Linked DNA regions of Neurospora crassa OR74A. The protein of the gene in region 2 binds, or shares a complex with, the protein of the main gene of each other region. Links are inferred from orthologs where the notes say so. Each region holds a gene or a part of one and is shown on either strand. Other genes may lie near its edges.

Evidence for each region.
Region 1: NCU06432 (region 2) and NCU07956 share a complex: the UniProt entries of both Saccharomyces cerevisiae proteins name them as parts of the small ribosomal subunit. The link is inferred for Neurospora crassa OR74A from reciprocal best matches to the Saccharomyces cerevisiae genes RPS12 and PNO1.

The regions. Positions count from the first base shown.
Region 1 is NC_026504.1:1,222,285-1,232,111, forward strand, and holds NCU07956 (pre-rRNA-processing protein PNO1), read right to left. Parts: upstream 6,281-9,827; 5' UTR 6,030-6,280; coding exon 5,734-6,029; intron 5,666-5,733; coding exon 5,358-5,665; intron 5,295-5,357; coding exon 5,125-5,294; 3' UTR 4,521-5,124; downstream 1-4,520. Other genes in the region: NCU07958 (sporulation protein SPS19), read right to left, coding at 292-996, 1,056-1,249, 1,311-1,365; NCU07957 (hypothetical protein), read left to right, coding at 2,372-4,024; pod-1 (mitochondrion biogenesis protein), read left to right, coding at 6,709-9,129. UniProt on the Saccharomyces cerevisiae protein: Required for small ribosomal subunit (SSU) synthesis. Has a role in the processing of early nucleolar and late cytoplasmic pre-RNA species. Recruits DIM1 to nucleolar pre-RNAs.
Region 2 is NC_026503.1:1,394,790-1,404,131, reverse strand, and holds NCU06432 (40S ribosomal protein S12), read right to left. Parts: upstream 5,266-9,342; 5' UTR 5,043-5,265; coding exon 5,040-5,042; intron 4,813-5,039; coding exon 4,497-4,812; intron 4,436-4,496; coding exon 4,344-4,435; intron 4,285-4,343; coding exon 4,252-4,284; 3' UTR 3,876-4,251; downstream 1-3,875. Other genes in the region: NCU06435 (VPS9 domain-containing protein), read left to right, coding at 21-203; NCU06434 (hypothetical protein), read right to left, coding at 1,141-1,902; NCU06433 (peptidyl-prolyl cis-trans isomerase pin-4), read left to right, coding at 3,198-3,332, 3,447-3,549, 3,721-3,875; NCU06431 (40S ribosomal protein S22), read left to right, coding at 5,786-5,918, 6,191-6,450; NCU06430 (capsule-associated protein CAP1), read left to right, coding at 7,586-9,342. UniProt on the Saccharomyces cerevisiae protein: Component of the ribosome, a large ribonucleoprotein complex responsible for the synthesis of proteins in the cell.

The DNA.
Region 1 (9,827 bases), on a different chromosome or scaffold from region 2:
GTGCATCATGAACTTGGCTCGGCCCGGAGACACCCGGAACTCACACCTCACAAACTCGACCGATGCCCGTCATTGTAGATGCCCGTGGTTTGTCTGTAAATTTTCTTCGAGGATCTTTGTTTGATTTGCCTGATATAACACCGAACTCGTCACCAGTAGCAGAGAAATATGCAATCACTGAGCACGCCTGCTCCGACCCGAACGCCTTGCAATCATGCTGTCGTGGCATGGCCCGATGGTATCACAAACGCTCCAGTGTGACAAACTGAGGACATTTTCGAACTCCCATGCTTAAAGCTTGGACTTTTGCTTTCTCCCGTCTTTCAGGTTTTTGCTGATCTGGCCAGTAAACAGGAAGTCGGGATACTCCATGCCTTCGTCAATGCCAATGTCGTTTCCTCCCTGTCGCCTCCAGCCAGCGCCATCAACGACGAGAGTGGTACCATTGACATAGTTACCGGCATCACTGAATAGGTAAACAGTGGCGTCAGCGATATCACGGCGGCTTCCCCATCTGCCGCTGGGAACAGCCTTGGTCATCTTCTTCTTGTCGACAGCGCTGCTGGCCAGGCGCTCCATACCCTCGGTACCTTCAATGGCACCGGGAGCAATCACGTTGGCAGTGACACCGTAGGGGCCGTATTCAAGAGAGACGCTGGCCATGAGGGAATCCACGGCGGCCTTGGCAGCGGACACATGGGCCTGCAGGGGCATGCCTGAGTAGTGGAAGGTAGCGGAAACCGAGATGATGCGACCGCCAGTGAGGCCATTTGGGTTGGGGTTCGGGTTCCTGGCAGCCGACTCGATGAGGTAAGGAATAGTGGCCTTGACGGTGTTGAAAGTACCAATGGTGTCGATGTCGATCACAGTCTTGAAGGCGTTAGGGCTCAACCCGGAAATAGGAGCAATGAAGTTTCCAGCGGCACCAGCGATGACAAAGTCGATGGCTCCCAGCTCCTTGACGCACCGCTCAGCGGCCGCCTTGAGGTTGTCGAACTGTGAACTCAGTCAGCGAGACTATTTCAAGTGTGATTCATCCAAGCAACAACACTCACATTCCTGACATCGACATTGCCAATGCCAATGACACGAGCTCCGGAGCGGACCTTGGCGATGTCTTTGGCAGCTTTCTCAGTCTTCTCTGGGTTGCGACCAATGATGCATGCGTCCGCTCCCAGATGGACCATAGCGCGAGTTTGCGCACTGCAGATGGTGCCGGCACCACCGGTGACGAAGACAACCCGGTTGGCTGTGGTGATGATTGTTAGCGACACTGTGATCTCTGCACAAATAGTACCTCCGAGACTTACCAAAGATGCCGGGTGCCCATACGGAGCTGAGATATTCTGACTTTGGGACACTCATGTTGGAGGTGGGTGATATTGACCGCCGATGGAAAATATTATCACTAACAAATAATGGCTGTTGATGTTGCTGATGGAAGTAGTCAAGTAAGGTAGAGAGGTAGATAGGCAAGCAACCGAGATGGGTAGAGGTAGAAGACAGAAACAGATGGGGTATAGAAGACAACCAGATTATCGAGATGAGACTCCAAGGAGGACCTTCAACACCACGTACACCGTTTCATTTGTTCCTTTTGGCGAGTTGCGAACTAAGTCTAGTGCATGGGGCCAGACGGGTGTTCGAGAAGGGATCTCCATCTTTGCCCCGTCCGCGGGTGGTGGTGGACTCGTTGTGCCCTGGTGGTCACTCGGCTCCTCAGTGTCAGTTACCTACCGGCGCTGTCACTTCCTGATCAACTGAAGCGTCGGCGCTCGCTCAGGACTCGTTCAGGGCAGCTTCAGTTGCCGGCGGTACCTCCCTTCACAGTACGCGGTTTACCTCGGCTAAGACCCACCTTTTTTTTCCCTAGGTTTCTCCAGACGGGACTGGCCCAGCCTTGCAGTCCCCCACACGCCCCGCAGCACTGTCTGTTTAGTGACCACACTGTGCGCCGCCCAGCGAAAGTTCGGATGGTCTGCCGTTAGCGGATCGCATTTTGCGCCGGGGTTGCACCAACGCCTTCTTTTTTTGTCCAGCCTCGTCTTCTTTGATTCACGATATCTTCAACCTAACAGCCGCCCTTCGTCTATACATGGACAATTGTACGGACCTGCACGTCCGAATTTTCGACGCGACTATAAACAAGCTTTGAAAACAAGCAACAACCGATCTCTCGCTTCTCCCTTGAACAACAATCAATCCATCACCACCACCCTGTTGGTCATCCCACTTTCCCGTTTTCTCTGCGCACCCGAACCGCATCTACATATTACACTAGGTTTGCGATTCATAACTGCGCACCACCTCACTCTCACATTTCTTTGCACACACCAATCTCTCAAACGTAGCACATCACCACTTGCCCACCATGGACACGGCAACTGACGTACCAAAGAAAAGGAGAGCGCTGCCCTTCAAGCGCACCGTTGCACGCACACCAGCCAACGAGCCACCCCCAAGCCATGCGCCAGAGCACAATTCTGACCAAGATGACCCTCTCGCCCTCTTTCGGCGATCAAAGGATGTTTTCCCCATGGTCCTGGAGGACCTGCAGCGGGCATCATCAGAGGAAAAGGTGAAGCCTTCCGAGTCGCCAAAGGAAGGGCATGTCAACAAGAAAAGGAGGGTGTCGTCCAATGTCGAAGGTGACAATGAAGCACCTCTCGGCGCCAGCTCTTCGAGCGTATCAGCACTGAGTAGGACGTCTGCATCGCGCGTTGACTCCGACGATGACGACCTGATCATGGACGTCAAGGGTAAAGGGAAAGAGATCGTACGGCCCGACAAAGCCCGGGTACCGACTCCCCGAAAGCCTCTTTCAACCACACCAAGAAAGTCGGGGACGCCATCCAAGAAACGCTTCGCCTTTAGCGACGACGAAGACGATCATGGGAAGGACGACCTGTACTCCCCACATTCAAAGCGCCGCAACCCCGACCGCTTCTCTCCAAAACCTACCGCACTCGGCCGCAGCACCCGGGCCACTCAGCGCGGCAGGTCGCCGCTGGAAGGTGTTGAGACCTCCTTCAACCTCCCCGGCGCATCCTCCACCTCCAAGAGGAAACCTTTTCAACCCGCTGCCCTCGACTCCGACAACGACTCGGACCTCGAAGTCTCCGAAGTCCGCCCCAAGAAGCGCTCCGCTTCTTTCTCATCTTCTCCACCACCAGCACCATCCGCAACCGACCCAGATCATGAAGCCACTATCGTCGCCGATAAGGCCGACGACGACGATGATTTTGCGAAATGGGTCACCAAAGCCGCGGCGCTAGAAGCCGACCAGGCCAACTGGACAATTGACGTGCTAGTCACTTCGCGAATGCCACACACCAAGCCGCTTACTGCGCGGCGACGGATGAAGCAAGGTCTCAAGCTGATTTTAGACACGTGGATCCGACAGCAGGTGCTCCACGGTTGCGAAATCCCCGAGGACATGGTGGGCAAGCTGTTCTTGACGTTTAAAGGGAACCGAATTTACGGCAACAGCACCATTGCTTCGTTGGGAGTCAAGGTGGACGCCAATGGCGTGTTGCAGCTGCCTCCTGGTGCCATGACGAGCCGAGAGGCCATGGAGGGGTATGTCATCCAGGGGGGAAAAATTGGACTGGTGTTGGAGGTTTGGCACGAGGAGTTTTATGAGGAAGAGCTTACGAAGGAGAAGAGGCGGAGGGAGAGGGAGTTGGGGCTGATTGACGATGACGATGACGAAGACCAGCAAAGCGGAACTGGTGTGTCTGGTGCCAATGGATGGTCCAGAGGTGGCAGTGAGGCTGCTGAGGTCAAGAAGACCAAGATCAAAGTGGTACTCAAGGCCAAAGACCTCCAACCGCTCAAGATCGCGGTTTATGAGGATACGCCGGTCAGTACCATGGTGCAGGTTTTCCGGAAGCAGAGAGATATCAAGCCGGAGCAGACTGTCGTGATACAGTTTGACGGCGAGGAGCTGAACGAGAACATGCTGGTTGGGGCGATGGACATTGAGAGGGACGAGACCAATCAGTTTGAGGTCTACATCAAGTAGTGTATGACCTGGAGAATAAACATGGAGACTGGGTTTTGGGAGACGTTATTCGCACATTTCTTTAGCTGTTATGGGGTTGGAGTTTACCGGGCTTATTCGTCAGGCCTACGAAATCGGCGGTGACTAGTGGATTATTGTTTTTGCTTAAAGTTGTGACAGATGATTACGGAGTTTGGAGTGTTGCAAGTCCTTCCAGGACACGGTTCATGGTGCGGAGGTGGTACCCTAGCTCTTCAGAAGATACCCATACGTATATCACTTTTTGCTACGTCTTGCCTTCACTTTATTTCAACAAGCTTGATGAGTCATGGGAGTTGGTCAGTCAGAGCACAAAAAGAGCCTCCTCGGGTTAAGATGGTCTCATCCCACCTATCGTAGGTGAATATCGAGGGGTTTGACTATGCTCTATCTGCTATTTCGATATACGGTTCGCCATCTGGACTGTAAAACAAACAAGACCTTTACTTATGCGGAACAAGCGAGATAAGAGAATGGATGGAAATAACTACTACTTGTATGACCTGAAGAAACCAATCTATCGTGGCTCACCTGGCTACATTGGTGCCCATCACATCAGCTCCTTACATTTTGCTTGATTTGCCGTCACCATGGAATTGAACCTCAACCAAATGAGCGCACTGGATCAGTTTCCCACATCACTTTCTCTGCACAATAATCGACCTTGCCAGCCAATATGCACTAAACCGCCTTTTGGTGAATATCTCTGTTCATTGTCTTCTCTTCTCGTCCTCCGGGTATAGATCATAACCACACATTGAAAGATTCGCAAGGCGGTAGCTCCCCAATATCCCGTCCTCTTCCTCCCGCTTCTACACACCTTCGTAGATATCCCCAGCATGACTGACTGAATCGCCCATTTCAAACTCTCCAAACTCAAAGCAAAAGCATAATGAACTCCTAAACGCCAGAACCCTTTTTAAGCGTAGCTCCCGAAATGCCACCTTCGCCCCTTATGTGATGAAAACCGTCGATTTTTTGTTGACTGAACCATGCAGCCCCGTGCGTGAACCATTCATTAGGTGAGAATAGCGGCAATAGAAGTGTAACACATTGTTGCCGTTTTTCGTGAAAGAAAGAGCTTAGAATCTCTCCTTTTGCCTCGAGGCAATGATCCGGAGGTTGTTGTACACCTTGCCGGGCTGGTGTCCGAGAATGAGGGAGACGACGGACTCGCGGGCCATGCCAATGTTCTCGAAGGCACCGAGGATATGAACGCGGGAGCCGGCGAGGACGATTCTGGTTTTTGTGGCTTTTCACATCTTGTCAGTACTTCTGCGTCATCTCTTCCATTCTCCCATAATGGTGAACGTACCATTCTCAATCGCAAACTTGGTCTTTCCGTCCTTGCCTGCAATACGACCAATCGCACGTCCCAGAGCATCGGGGCCAAGGGTCTGACGGACATCCTTGACATCGAAGGACTGGATATAGAGCGAATCGAGACGGAGCAGGGCAATGGCGTCGTCAATGTCGAAGCCCATGGCGAAGGCGGAGACGAAATCGGCACCCATCTGCAGGGATTCGGGGGTGGTGGTGTGTCTGCTGGAGCGGAGCTCGACGCGCTTCTCCTTGATGTTCATGCGGACCTGGAGCTTGCAGTGCTCTACAAGTGGGGGGTAGCTGATTGGAAAACAGTCAGTCTTCCTTGCCCAAACATTCACACATGTTTCCGTAGTTTTCCGTCTCACATCTTGGTCCAATTGGCCTTGAGGGCCGACATGCGGTTTGGCGGGATACCAATTTTCCTGGTCTCTGCGCGGCGAATGATCTGGACGTCCTGGCCGGGGGCGAAACGGGGGCGGCCCTCCTCGTCTACAGCCATCTGCACATCTTGGTCATTGGAAGGGGGAGCGGCGGCGCTGGGATCGGTGAGGTTGACGGCCTCGTTGACATCGAGAATGAGCTCGTCCTCTTGCTCGGTCTGGATAGGAATCTGGGCGGCGGGAGCCTTGACAGGCTGACGAAGTGCTGTTGGCGCAGGCATGTTGGGCGAGATGTGTTGTTTATCGGTGGGTGATGGTCAAGGGGCCGAGTCGGGTTGTTTGTTGATTAAAGTCGGTAGTATTTTGGGAAATCGCCGGCCAAGAGTAATGGCAGATTTTTCGAAAATCGGGTGGAGGAGAGACTGGTGACGGGCGACGAAAGAAGTGTCGGGATGCTGGGTTACAGTCGTGAATTGCGGAGATCTGGGAGTCGAAGTTCTGCCTTTTTGCGCCGTCGGTCTCTAGAATTTTGATGTTTATCGATTTTGATAGCGCAGAGGGGAAATTCTTGACAAAAAGCAGTGGATCCACAAAAGAGTACCCAAGTGAAGCTTATCGATTGGCTGCATGGGGGCTAGGACCCTTGCCAATCGCAACGCCCATGCACTAACAGTTACCGAGGAATCCCTGTAATCCCAAGGTTAGCGTCATTGACGCACTTTTGACGGGGACCTGGACCGGCAGCTTTTTCAAACTCCAGGTTCTTGGTCAGAGCAGGAGCACCATCATATGTCATTCTAGACTCGGCCCACCACCAAGCAACAACATCTGATTTTCAGCCTCGAGGACCGACCATGGATACGGCACCGAGCTGTCGTCATCACCATCGTCGCTGAAAACATAGGAAAAAAAAAAGGAACAGGTCGGTCCCTTACTCGGTCGACAGTATGAATTTCAACAATGTCTACTAGCGCTACGACGACCCAGCTGGGCCGCCAGCTATGGTCTTCAGTACGAGATCTTCACACCACCTCGAATCTCTTCACAGCCGCGATACTGCTTCCAACTTGTCAGCCATTACTGAGTCGTCAAAGTCTTGGACTTGGCCCCTCGACATCGCTGGGGTCCCATCAGCGATACGGACAGCAGCAGAGCACGCGACAATTTACCTCTTCCGCAAGTCGCTTTTTCTTCCCAGCAACAAAATCGCAAAGACTACACTATCAACAGTCACAACCATCCCATAATGTCCTACGAAGCTGTACCTCCGGAGGCCTACTCCTCCTTGGGCTCACCACCAGCCCCTCTCCAACGAGCACGGTAGAGGCATCCGCACTATCCGGCAATGCCGCGCAAAAGGCAAAAATGGGCCACTTGGCTCGGCAGGCTTTACTCTTGCGAAGGATACGACAGAACACCACGACCACAACGTTATGCAAGACAGGAAAGCGATTCCAAAGTTCGGGCAAAGAGACCAAGGGTGATCATGACGAGACCAAGGCCGAAGCCAAGTCTTCTACAATTTCTCCTCAGCAAAAGTCCGAGCAACCACAGCAGCCACCGAATACCGAGACGGCTTCCGGTTCTGGTTCCCAGCCGACTCCCGCACATGAATCAATAGCAGATTCCATGTCTAAATACCTTCACCTTCCTCACCTCCCCCATTTGCCTCATCGGCCCACAAAAGAAGAGCTTCTGGCGGCAGCAAGCGGGTTCTGGTCGCGTCTCAAGGTCCGATTCAAGTGGTTCTCCATCAGGAGCATGCGCCCCTGGAACGCCGACGAATGGGGAGCGTTTGTGTCCTTCTTCTTATTCGGTCATTTGGTCTGGATTCTTGTTGGCACAACTACCTTCTTCTCCCTCATCATCCTCTTTATCAACACGGTGTTTGCCCAGGAAACGCTGGCCAAGTGGATCGGAGACTACCTGACCCAATCTGCTGGCCTTACTGTTGTCTTCGAGTCGGCTATTGTGCCCAAATGGGGAGATGGTGTCATCACTTTCCGCAATGTTTTCGTTTCTCGGAGACCTGGTCAGCCCAAGTCTTCCGTCAAGAAGGGTTCTTCCGAAGCTGCGGCCGAAGCTGCTGCTGCTAAACAAGCCGCCGAGCAAGAAGGCACTGCCGTGGAAGAGGACGATGGCAATTACACACAGTTTGACGTCACTATAGACACCGTGAACGTGGCTTTATCTTTCCTCAAATGGTGGAACGGAAAGGGTCTCCTCAAAGACGTCGAAATAAAGGGTGTTCGAGGCGTTGTTGACAGGACTTCGGTTGTCTGGGGCAACGAGGACCTCAACCCCCTTGACTTCAGACAGGAACATAACCCTGGCGACTTTGAACTGGATCACTTCAAGATGGAAGACTTGCTGGTCACCGTCCACCAACCGGGCGGTTTCCGGCCCTTTTCCGTTTCCATCTTCTCCTGCGAGCTGCCTCAGCTACGAAAACAATGGCTGTTTTATGACTTTTTGTCAGCAAATCACATGTCCGGATCATTCGATGGATCACTATTCACCATTCATCCCAGACAGATCCACGGTGTGTCCGCAGCAGATAACGGCCGTCACCACCAAGACGAGTTCGGTTCTCCCTCGGCCTGGAAGAAGTTCTCCCGACTACGGATTGATGGGCTGAAGATTGACCACTTGAACCGCGGTGTAGAAGGACCGTTTGGCTGGATTTACGAAGGCAACGTCGATATGATTGCCGACATCATGTTCCCTGCGGATCCTGAGGAGGGTCTAAGCAAGGTTGTCGCCGAGTTTTACGACAAAATGGAAGAAGCCGTAACCAGCAACCGCTACCTCAAGATTCTAGACGGCAACATTTCTCCCAACAGCCGAAGCAACACCAACAGCCCCACCCTCGAAAGCGGGCCAATTCCGGAATCTGCCTCTGACATCGACCTCACCGGCCACCACGACGAGCTCCCCACCTCGGAGCAGCACTTCCCCCCCTTGATCCCTCCCGCGACTCCCAAAGAGCCAGCCCCGATTGAAGAAACTCCCTCCTATCTAGTCATGGACCTTCGCATCCACCTCAACGACGTCCGCGCCGCTGTCCCTCTGTTCAACAACCCACACATGAGCTACGTGAACCAAGCCCTAGTACGGCCCATCGTCGCCTACATCAACGCCAAGCGCACCTACATCCCCATCAGTTGCCGGATCGTAAAGCGGCTGACGGACTTTGACGGAGCTTGGACCGTTTGGGACTGTGGGCTGATGGACGATATGAGCGCCGAGGTGTACCGTGCTTTTGCCAGAAACGTAGAGGATCAGCAAAGTAGGGTGAGGAGATTCAAGCGCGTGGGACTGTGGACGGTCAGTCTCGTGGTACATGCGTTGCTGGCTGGCGTGGCGGGAGACTTGATGTGAGCCGTCATTGGATATGACACTGACGATTATAGACTTTTGCCTGTATTTTATCAGGCGGGTAGAGGAAAAGTCTTGTTTTGTGACGATATGGGGTTGTGTTGTACTATCCTTTTTTCTCTCTCTCTTCTCTACTTTACTTTACCGTGAGGGGGTTACCATACCTTTCCAAGCGGTATTTCACTGTACTATACATACATCAAACATACTTATATGGCTCTGAAAAACAGGAGCTCGAAGGAACAGACAGGCAGGCAGGCAGGCAGGCAGGTTATGGTTATGAACAGGAGGGAGGGGATTTGAAACTGGTTTACGCTCTTAATGACCCGGACGGATCGAATTACTGGCTGGAATCATATGAATGCGGGAGGCGAGGTGTTTTGTGTGCCCTGGTTTTGTTGTCAGTGATGATGGTTGCTCAGGGCAGATCAACATCGCGATCGGAGTTTTAAGTGTTTTGATTAGGGTACAGCAACATTGTCTGAAAAGTTCACATGGTGTTCATGGTCGGGAAATATCACCTGTTCACTGGTGTAAGTTTCTGAGAGGGTTCTGAGATGGTGACTGAAATAGTGTTGGTTGTAATTTTAGCCATGGCATCGATAAGAGAACCTCACACCAGGATGATATGCAGCCTGGACTTTCGAAACGTGATGCTCGCCTTCATTATTGAATGCACTCTAAATCTACTTTCCCCCATG
Region 2 (9,342 bases):
ACATATCCCAAAATCCACAGGCCTTCCCCGATCTAGCCCCCGCGCTCCCACCAAAGGAAATCCCCAAGATCGAACCGCCCATCAAGCGGTTCATGGAGGTGCAGAACCCGGCCGATTTGCGGATAGGCGAAGTGTTGGATTTGCTGAGAGATTATAGAAGGCTAGCGGGTGCGTTGAAAGATGTGGGTGCTTTCAAGGAATGAGTAGTAGATCATGGATAATTATATATACACACAGATGCGATGCATTGCGGAAGAGTACTATACTAGGTGGAGAAGGGGAGTTATATTTGGATTGGATTGGATTTAAACAGACGCGGTGCATTTGTTTGTCTCGGTTAGTTCTGTTCTAGTGGCTTGGAGGTAGAAAGGGGCAACAATAGTCATATTACATAATGGGAGGAGAGGGGAGGGAAAGGGGGCTTGTGTTTGGTGGTCGTCAAAGCATCATGCATTTTTGAAGATGGGACATGTCTGGTATAATACAAGCAAAAGACCCATTCATCAAACATCTGCTTGTATCCTCGGCTGTGGTAGGAATCTTACACTTTCATCTTCAGGGCACTTCCAAACCTCCAAAAAAAAAAAAAAAAAAAAAAAAAAAAAAAAAAAACCTATACTGCGCGTTTGGTTTCATTGCTGCTCACTACAAGTGATCGCATTTCTTCACTTGTCTCGTCCCCCACAACTCACAAACGAGATAAGGTAAAAGGAAGTTGGTTTAATCGGAAGACACGTTGAATCTCCCGGGGCAATCTTGTTACTTGGGAGATGGTTTCTATGATGCTGTGAAACTATTGACTAATCTCAATAATCGCTGTTTCGCTGGTTGTTGCTGTTTCTCATCCATACTCCTTAGATCATTGAATCACCGTTTGATTTTGGCGACGGGTATCTTCAAGTTGAATGTCAAATCCACCATCGTCGTTAATGCTCCCAATACCAGATGGCCTGTTTCAGAGATACTCTCGACCTCAACCACAAATTCGGCAAACCAGAAAGCCAGAAACAAAATCCTCTCCAAACCAAAAGCCCAACAACCTTCCTCGCAGTGAAATCAACAATGCCGTTCCAACCTGTCCCTGCATCACCACTCAGAAGCTGACGAAATGAAAACTCAAGCATGACGCCTGAGCTTCAATTACATTCCCGGAACGGAATACTCGTCCAAAGCAGTCAACAGTAAACTCGGATCCGGCCGCTCCGGGTCCAAGGGTTTCTCGCTCATGAGCGTCACCAACACATGTGGCGGCAGCTTGTCCAAGATTGCATTCCACGCCGCCAAAGCATGGGTGTGATTGGTAGGATCAAGGCCCGCCGCACAATCTTCATGATACGCCCCGTAGAGCCCCTGATACCACGGTTGCCACGCGTAGGATTCGCTGTCCAGTTTTGGGTATTGGTTCAGACAACGGAGGACTGGACTATTCGAAGCTTCCCCGACAACCTCGGAGTGGATATGGACATGGGGAGGCAGCGCGCTTCCTTCGGATCTGGACTGGAACCGCCGCTGCAGATGGTGGCTTTCGTTCTCCTCGGTAGTGGTGAATGTATTGACGTCTTCGAGTACAGCGGTGACGGCTCGAATGACACGTTGTAGTCTCCAGTCGGTCGTGGAAGAGTATGCACACATTTCGTCCCCGGCAGCATACAATATGTAGGCGAGAGCATTGTCTTTTTGCTCGCCCATCTTGCTGTTGTGGTACGTTTGCATGAGTTCGTCCACCTTGGATGTTGTTGTGTTTTCCGTCGTTGTTGTGCTTTCGTCATCTGCGGATGGATCTGGCGTTGGGATGGGAGGTTCTGATTCGCGCGCTGCGGCGCTAGCTTCTCTCTCTGCCAGCACCTTGGCCTCGCTCGTCTCGCGTTTCTTCGCCCATTGCTTGCGCCTGTCTGAGCCCATTGTGACGTGGAAGTTGGTGTCTGGGTAAAGGAGGTAGATGTGTGTAAGATTACTCAAGCAAGGGAGTACAAGACCGAGAGAAGTAACAATGAAGCAAAGTAAGTTGTGAGGTGAGAGTAGTTGTGAGGTGCACGGAGTGGATGAAGTAAGTATGGAAAGCTGTGAAAGACGAAGAAGAGAAACAAGAGAATGCGGAACATGGCGGCAGCGAAGAATAAATACTAGATGCGGGACGCTCGTTGGGTACTCCATTCCCGAACTCGAGAAGAGAAAGCACAACAGGTACGATGTTGCGTGTATCATTGAACTCCACGCTGCAAAGAAACGTGGAAGTCGCTTCACCGTCATGGCTTCATTCTGTCACTTCACATCTGGAAGGAGAAATACGCCCTTGGGTTTTCAGATCACCACTTCCTTTTTTCAAACAACATATGCTGCGTATATGGGCGGGAGCGGGATCTCAGCGACTACGCCTGCCGAGTAGTATTTTTCATGCCTTCCGGACGTCGCCTGTTAGTCCTCGATAAGCAAGCTCTACAATATGACTTCTGCAGTCAAATAAGAAAGTTCTTGCGTAAATATGGTTGCAGTAAGCTTGGGAAGAGCATAAAATCGCTGTCGACGTTCAGTTGCGACACATGATCACCTATCATTCGGGTCGCTGATGGCAACCAGGAGAACAGACGGGGGAGCTACGGCAGACTATTTTCCACATCTCTCTGGAATCGTGACTGTTGACAATCTATTTAAGATCTTTGACCTCCCGAGTGCGAACTTCGCGACTGTGACTCCTTCCAGTCTATTCCTTCCCCCTCCTCCCTCTCTGCCGAGGTTCCAGGTCCCAGGTTCCTGCCTCTTCTCTGGATCATTTCAGAAACAACAAGAGAACAAGTAAAAAGCACAAATAAGATTAACTCATGAAAGAAAATGCAGCCATGACCAAGCTGATCCTTCGTCTCGAATTCCGTAGTGTCCATCTTCGTGACAGCCGGAGTGACGTTGAAAAGGGGCAACCCCCTTCCAACCAGGGTTAGGGTTCTGTAGAGCCTTCCTCCTCTCCAATTCCTCCCACCACCCGACCCAAACACGGTCAGCTTGTCGCTTCAAGCTGCTACTTCCATCCTCACAACGCAACCCCACTTCCATTTTCATCATCTCACCACGGAAGCTGGAGTCTGCAAACTTATCATCACCACCTGAAACATCAAGCCGCCTATTCTCTCAACTCATCAGTCCCTCACCCGCTCTTTATTCTTCGCAGCTTCTCATCACCGACGCGATATCCAAAATTAAGAATGGGCAAGGACAAGAAAGCCTCCGGTTCCGGCTCCGGCAGCAAAGGCGGCAAGGACGCAGGCAACAAAGATGCGGGCAAGGACGCCGGCAAGGCCAGCAAGGGTGCTCAGTCGATTAACGTTCGGCATATTCTGGTAAGTGCTTTTCCCAGTATCTAGGTCGCCCTTCAGTTGGCTCCTGTCTACTTTCGCTTCTTGTCGAAGTGGTGTATCATGCGGGCGGTTACTGATGATGACTGTATACTGTAGTGTGAGAAACATGGCAAGAAGGAAGAAGCGCTGGCCAAGATCCGCGATGGAGCTGATTTTGGTGCGGTTGCTAGGGAATATAGTGAGGATAAGGCGAGGACTGGTGAGATACCTCTTTATTCCTTTGTCTGCTTCTTGTTGAGTGGCATTGTAGCGGGCTGTTTCACAGTTGTTCATCCCATTGTCCTTTTTTTTGGGCCGTTCTGGCGGATCGTTATGGGTTTTCATTTTTTTGCAGTCAATGTCACTCACTCACTTACACGGAACATTATAGGCGGAAGTTTGGGTTGGAAGCAAAAGGGCACCTTGGATCCCGAGTTTGAAAAGGTTGCGTTTGCTTTGGAGACCAGCAGCACCAGTAGCCCCAAGATTGGTGAGGTCAAGACACAATTTGGCTACCACATCATCATGGTAGAGGGTAAAAAATGATATAAGAATGCATACTACAACCTTTGGGTGTTAGTCCCCTTTTCCATTCCCCATTTGGAGAACAAGTCCTTGCTCTTCCCATGGGCTTGTGACGCCATTGACAATGGCATACAAATTGCAGGATTTCACGCATGACAACGCGATTCATACAGAGTCACTTCAAGAATTGGCCAGCAGTTTTTGGACCTTTTACGTTGTTTATTGCCCCTTGCAGGGAAGCCAGTTAAGGCCTGCTCTAAGCATTTGTGCCAGTCGGTAAGGTCTACCCAAGCGTACGTCCAACCAGACACAGGGCTTGTTAGAGCCAATGTCTGGGACGCGTCTACAGCCTGTCCATCCCTAGGTGTTCCGCCTCGCCAAGATGCGAATCGCCAATTTACTGCTCGGTCTGGAAGTAGTTGAGGAGGATCTGTAGTGTCGTTTGTCAGTACACTGTGGCTAAACAGCAGACTCGGGTATAATTCTTACCTCACGCTCGGAGGACATCTCACCCCAGTTCTTGACAACGACGCAAGAGCAGTTGACGACCTTGCGGGCGTTACCCTCACGGTCAAGGACGCCTAGTAGCACAGTCAGCGAGATCGCCCCAAGATATGTTGTTCGATTAACAGGTGTACTCACAGAGACCAGCCCACTCGCCGAGCTGCTTGCCATCGGGAACCTTGATGAGGGGGATCTTGTGCTCGGAGCAAAGAGCAATGACGAGCTTCTTGTAGGCCTCCTCCTCGCAGGACTCGTTGAGGACGCACATGTGAGCCTCACGGCGGTCGAGGGCCTTGGAGGCCTCACGGAGACCGCGGGCAAGACCGTCGTGCATGAGGGAGATCTTGAGAACACCCTTGAGGGCATCAAGGACGCTCATCTGGCCCTTGGGGGCAGCATCGGCGGAAACCTCAACCTCCTCGGAGGCGGGGACAGTGTTCTCTTCTACGTCCGACTACAATTCCACAAAAAGACCATGTTAGCGGGAGTGTTCTTTTGCTTCCTCATTGTAATCGGGTCGTGTCGCACTGAAGATGTCGGGGCGTTCGGCGCCGTCGATGTCGAGTATGCCTAGTTCGTCATGCTTCTTCTTTCGAGATGTAATCGGTTCTAGGATATCGAATCGACGGTCGCGACGGCGACACTTCAGCTCGCACGTAGGGGACGGGACGGGTGTCTCACCATCTTGGCGATTTGCTTGGGGTTGTTGTCGGATACGATCCTCGAAGAGTTAATGGAGAAAGTATTTCAATGGGTGGTGATCGGGGGAAGCGAGAGGGGCCTGCGAGTCTCGTCTTTCCGCGAAGAGCAAAAAGCTCTGGACAGAAATTATGTGCGCGCACCGACCACCTCCCCACACCACGCCGACCGCCAGCGCGAAACCGTCGCTCCAAAATTCCGAAATTTTGTGTGATGCGCCTGAAGGGCACCTCTGCCGGGCCGACGAGCGCCAAGAGTAGCCCAGCTACTCGGCGTTAGGGCATTCGCACGGGGCACTTTTTGCATGACAAAGCACAGACCACCACCACAGAATCCACCCGCCCGCTCGAAATTTTCCAACAAAAGACCATCGCGACCTTGACGGCTTCTTCCCCTCTCACCTGCTAGCTTGTCCGTCCTCTCAGCATCAAGCCCATCACCGAGGTATGTGAAACTACTACGACGCCGGAGAATGTCCTCGACAACAGGATAATGCCCTTCGCAAAGGCCCAGGAAAGCAATCAGCTCGCGATGGTGAAAGTCGACGACCACTGATACGCTTCTCCTCGTCGGCAACTGAGCGGGCAGAACCCTTGGGACACCTTTACTGCGTTGTTCCAGAGGGCACTCTCCATGCTCACGGGGCCTCGAAGGCTAACATGCATGGATCTGGCAGATACCTCTGATCCCATTCCCGATTTGAGAATCTCCTCAAACAAACCGTCAAGATGGTCCGCACTTCCGTTCTCCACGATGCCCTCAACAGCATCAACAACGCCGAGAAGGCCGGCAAGCGCCAGGTCTTGATCCGCCCTTCTTCCAAGGTCATCATCAAGTTCCTCCAGGTCATGCAGAAGCACGGTATGTTCGAATCGCAAACCCGACTGTCAGATATCATTGGCAAACGACGAAGGGAACCGTGGACAGACTCGCAATCGAACATCCCCCCCGTCACTTCCATATTCACCACACCATTCGGCGTATAACTAGGCCGAGGTCTCACTACGCTCCACGATCTTAGTCTTTTAAGTCGCCGATATATCAAATGCGAGAGTCTTACACGTTACTGGAGTCACCAATGATATCTAATGTTTAAACTGTCGCGACATTTCACTGACATTTTTGTCCTTCAGGCTACATCGGCGAGTTCGAGGAGGTCGATGACCACCGCTCCGGCAAGATCGTTGTCCAGCTCAACGGCCGCATGAACAAGTGCGGTGTCATCTCTCCCCGCTACAACGTCCGCCTCGCTGAGCTCGAGAAGTGGGTTGTCAAGCTCCTTCCCGCCCGTCAGTTCGGCTACGTCATCCTCACCACCTCTGCTGGTATCATGGACCACGAGGAGGCCCGTCGCAAGCACGTCTCCGGCAAGATCATCGGCTTCTTCTACTAAGCGGATGTTTCTCGCTTAAAGTCGGGAATGAGGAGGATCTCTAGCAAGCCACGCTTTGGGTGTTGGGGAAGTCGATGGGAGGATGATACCTCTGTCTGGTCTCTGCAAGTAATGTTGCAGCATATAACCCACCTCAAAAATTGAAGAGCTGGTTCCTCCACCAATCTCCGTTCAACCTGATGTCAAAATCGAGTGATGTGATGAAATGAACCTGACGTGTAGATGAAAGCGACGTGGTAAAACTGAGTGTATGTTAAGCAGCTGGATGAAGTTTCGGACAGGAGAAACCACGAAGCTGAGAAGAGTGGATTGCCGTCAGTGTGTTTGGCAGCCGCACCACGTTGACATGGGAATTGCTTCATGTTCAACCAGCACCGGGCATCAAGGCGACGCGTAACACTGCCCCTGAAGCCGTGGAGCTTGCGCTGGCCTGGAGATGCAGATCCCTGCTGATTCTAGACACCGCCCGAGTCTGGTCAGGTACCCGTAGTTAAGGCTAACCCACCGCCCGCCCCTCCTTGGCCCCTGACGCCCGCATCAAGTACGCCACTTCGTTTAGATGTCCATCTTGGGGTACCTGGGTCACCTCGGTTATGTACTCCAAAATTAGGAAACGGACAGGAAACAGGCACACAGGCACTTCGGGGATCTTCATTCTTCAGGTGCAGTTTAATCCGTGTGGAAGAGGACACTTTCCAGATGCTGTGACAGGCCACTCTTCCGCTTCTCGTGGTTTTTTCTTTTCTTGTTTTCTTCTTTTTCTTTTTTTTTTCCGAACCAACCAATTTCTTGAGCTTTGGGTTTACCCTACAGAGCCAAGCCATATCACTGTTCGTCCGCGGCAATGCCAACCGCGGGCAATTGGGCAGCTCAACACCACTGTCACAGACAACGATAAACACTTTAGTTCCAATTTTTTTGTGACCGACTTGTCGCTTGTTGAAAGAGGGCGCTACGAAGCTTCAGAAGTCTCCCCCTCGGTATTCTAATTTGGAGTTCGAACCTCCATCTCTACACCAGCAACATCGGCAGTAAAGAATTTGGACGAGCATAGCCGATGGGAAGAGCAAGCTACGCCACGTAACGACCGACCGACCGACCGACCGACCGACCTACCCTACTTAATACTGACACGATGCGGTCCCGCCAGCTCTTGATCCTGGTGGGAACCGTCTTTATCTTCTTCTGCATCTACTCGCTCTTCACCTCCTCCTCGACCCTCAGCCAAGGGCAACAGAGGTTGAAAGACTCTTACCAGAATGGCGCCCACCATCTCCCGCACCACAACATTGACTTCAAGTCCAAACCGGCCGCGATCCGACCTCCCAAACCAGCCCCGAAAGGTTCCCACCCAATATGGCATTTGACCATCGACGCCGAGCGCGATCTCGAAGCTACCAAGACCCGTCAGTCTCGTACCCTCAAGGAAGCCGTTAAGGAGTACCGCAGGCGGTACGGACTGCCCCCACCCCCCAACTTTGACAAGTGGTGGGCTTTCGCCAAGGAACATGATGTCCAGCTCGTCGACGAATTCGACATGATCCACGAACTCATCACCCCCTTTTGGGGACTCTCGCCAAGAACCATCCGCATGCGCGCTAAGGAAGCCCTGGGATTCGACGGAAACGCCCTTATTGGCCTCCAGATCCGTGACGGCGAGATCGTCTACGTCCGTGGCGGACAGGAGTGGCAGGTCGAGGCGACCAAGGGCATGATGAAGAAGTTTAAGCAGTGGCTACCGGATATGGACCTGGCTTTCAACATCCACGACGAGCCGCGCGTCGTCGTTCCCGCTGAGGACATGGCGCGGCTGGTTGGGCGGGCGAAGAACGTCAACATGCCCGCGGCGAACAAGGGGTCTGCCTACCGAAACGACTTCACCCGCGATCCCGACGGCGGACTCAGTCCTACCGGCAGCTTCTCCGAGGAAAAGTTCACCCGGTTCAACGTATTCGCCCACCAGCCCACATGGACGCACTCGCGCATGAGCTGCCCGGCCGACAGTCCTGCTCGCCTCATCGACGAAGAAGGCGCCGACAAGCCCCAGCGGCTCGACGACGTCGGCCAGTTCGGCCTGGGCGAGCTCGGCTTCGTATACAACTGGACTGCCATGTCGGACGTCTGTCTCTCGCCCTCGCTCTCCACCACCTTCGGCTTCTTCGACCGCCCCAACGCTTACAACGTCGTGCACGATCTCTTCCCCATCTTCTCGCAGAGCAAGATTTCCTCGTACGCCGACATTTTGTACCCTTCCCCCTGGTACTGGTACGAAAAGGTCCCCTACGAAGAAGGCAAGGACCCGCTCTGGGACGACAAGGCCAACCAGCTGTACTGGCGCGGTTCCACCACCGGCGGCTTCTCGCGCAACGGGGGGTGGCGGCGCCAGCATCGTCAGCGCTTCGTGCAGAAGATCAACGAGCGCGACACCGCGAAAGTGCTGGTGAACAAGGGCAAGAACGAGCAGAACCCGGATTGGGTGGTCAACGAGGTATCGCGGTCCGACTACCGCGATATTATCAACGTGTTCTTCTCGCACATCGGCCAGTGCGACCCGGGCGACTGCGACGCGCAGCGTGAATTCTTCGAGGTCAAGTCGTACGCCGAGCAGGTGGATGCGTTCAAGTACAAGCATGTGCTGGACATTGACGGAAATGCGTTTTCCGGTCGGTTTTATGCGTTCCTCAAGAGCAGGAGTCTGGTGTACAAGTGGGCCATTTTCAGGGAGTGGCATTATGAGTGGCTGAAGCCGTGGGCGCACTTCATCCCGCTGAGCACGCAGGGAGAGGACTGGTTGGAGACGGTCCGGTTCTTCAGCGAGGAGAGCGCGACAGTTAGTCAGGGGACGAAGGAGGCCGAGCGCGTGGCGATTCAGGGGAGGGAGTGGGCGAATAA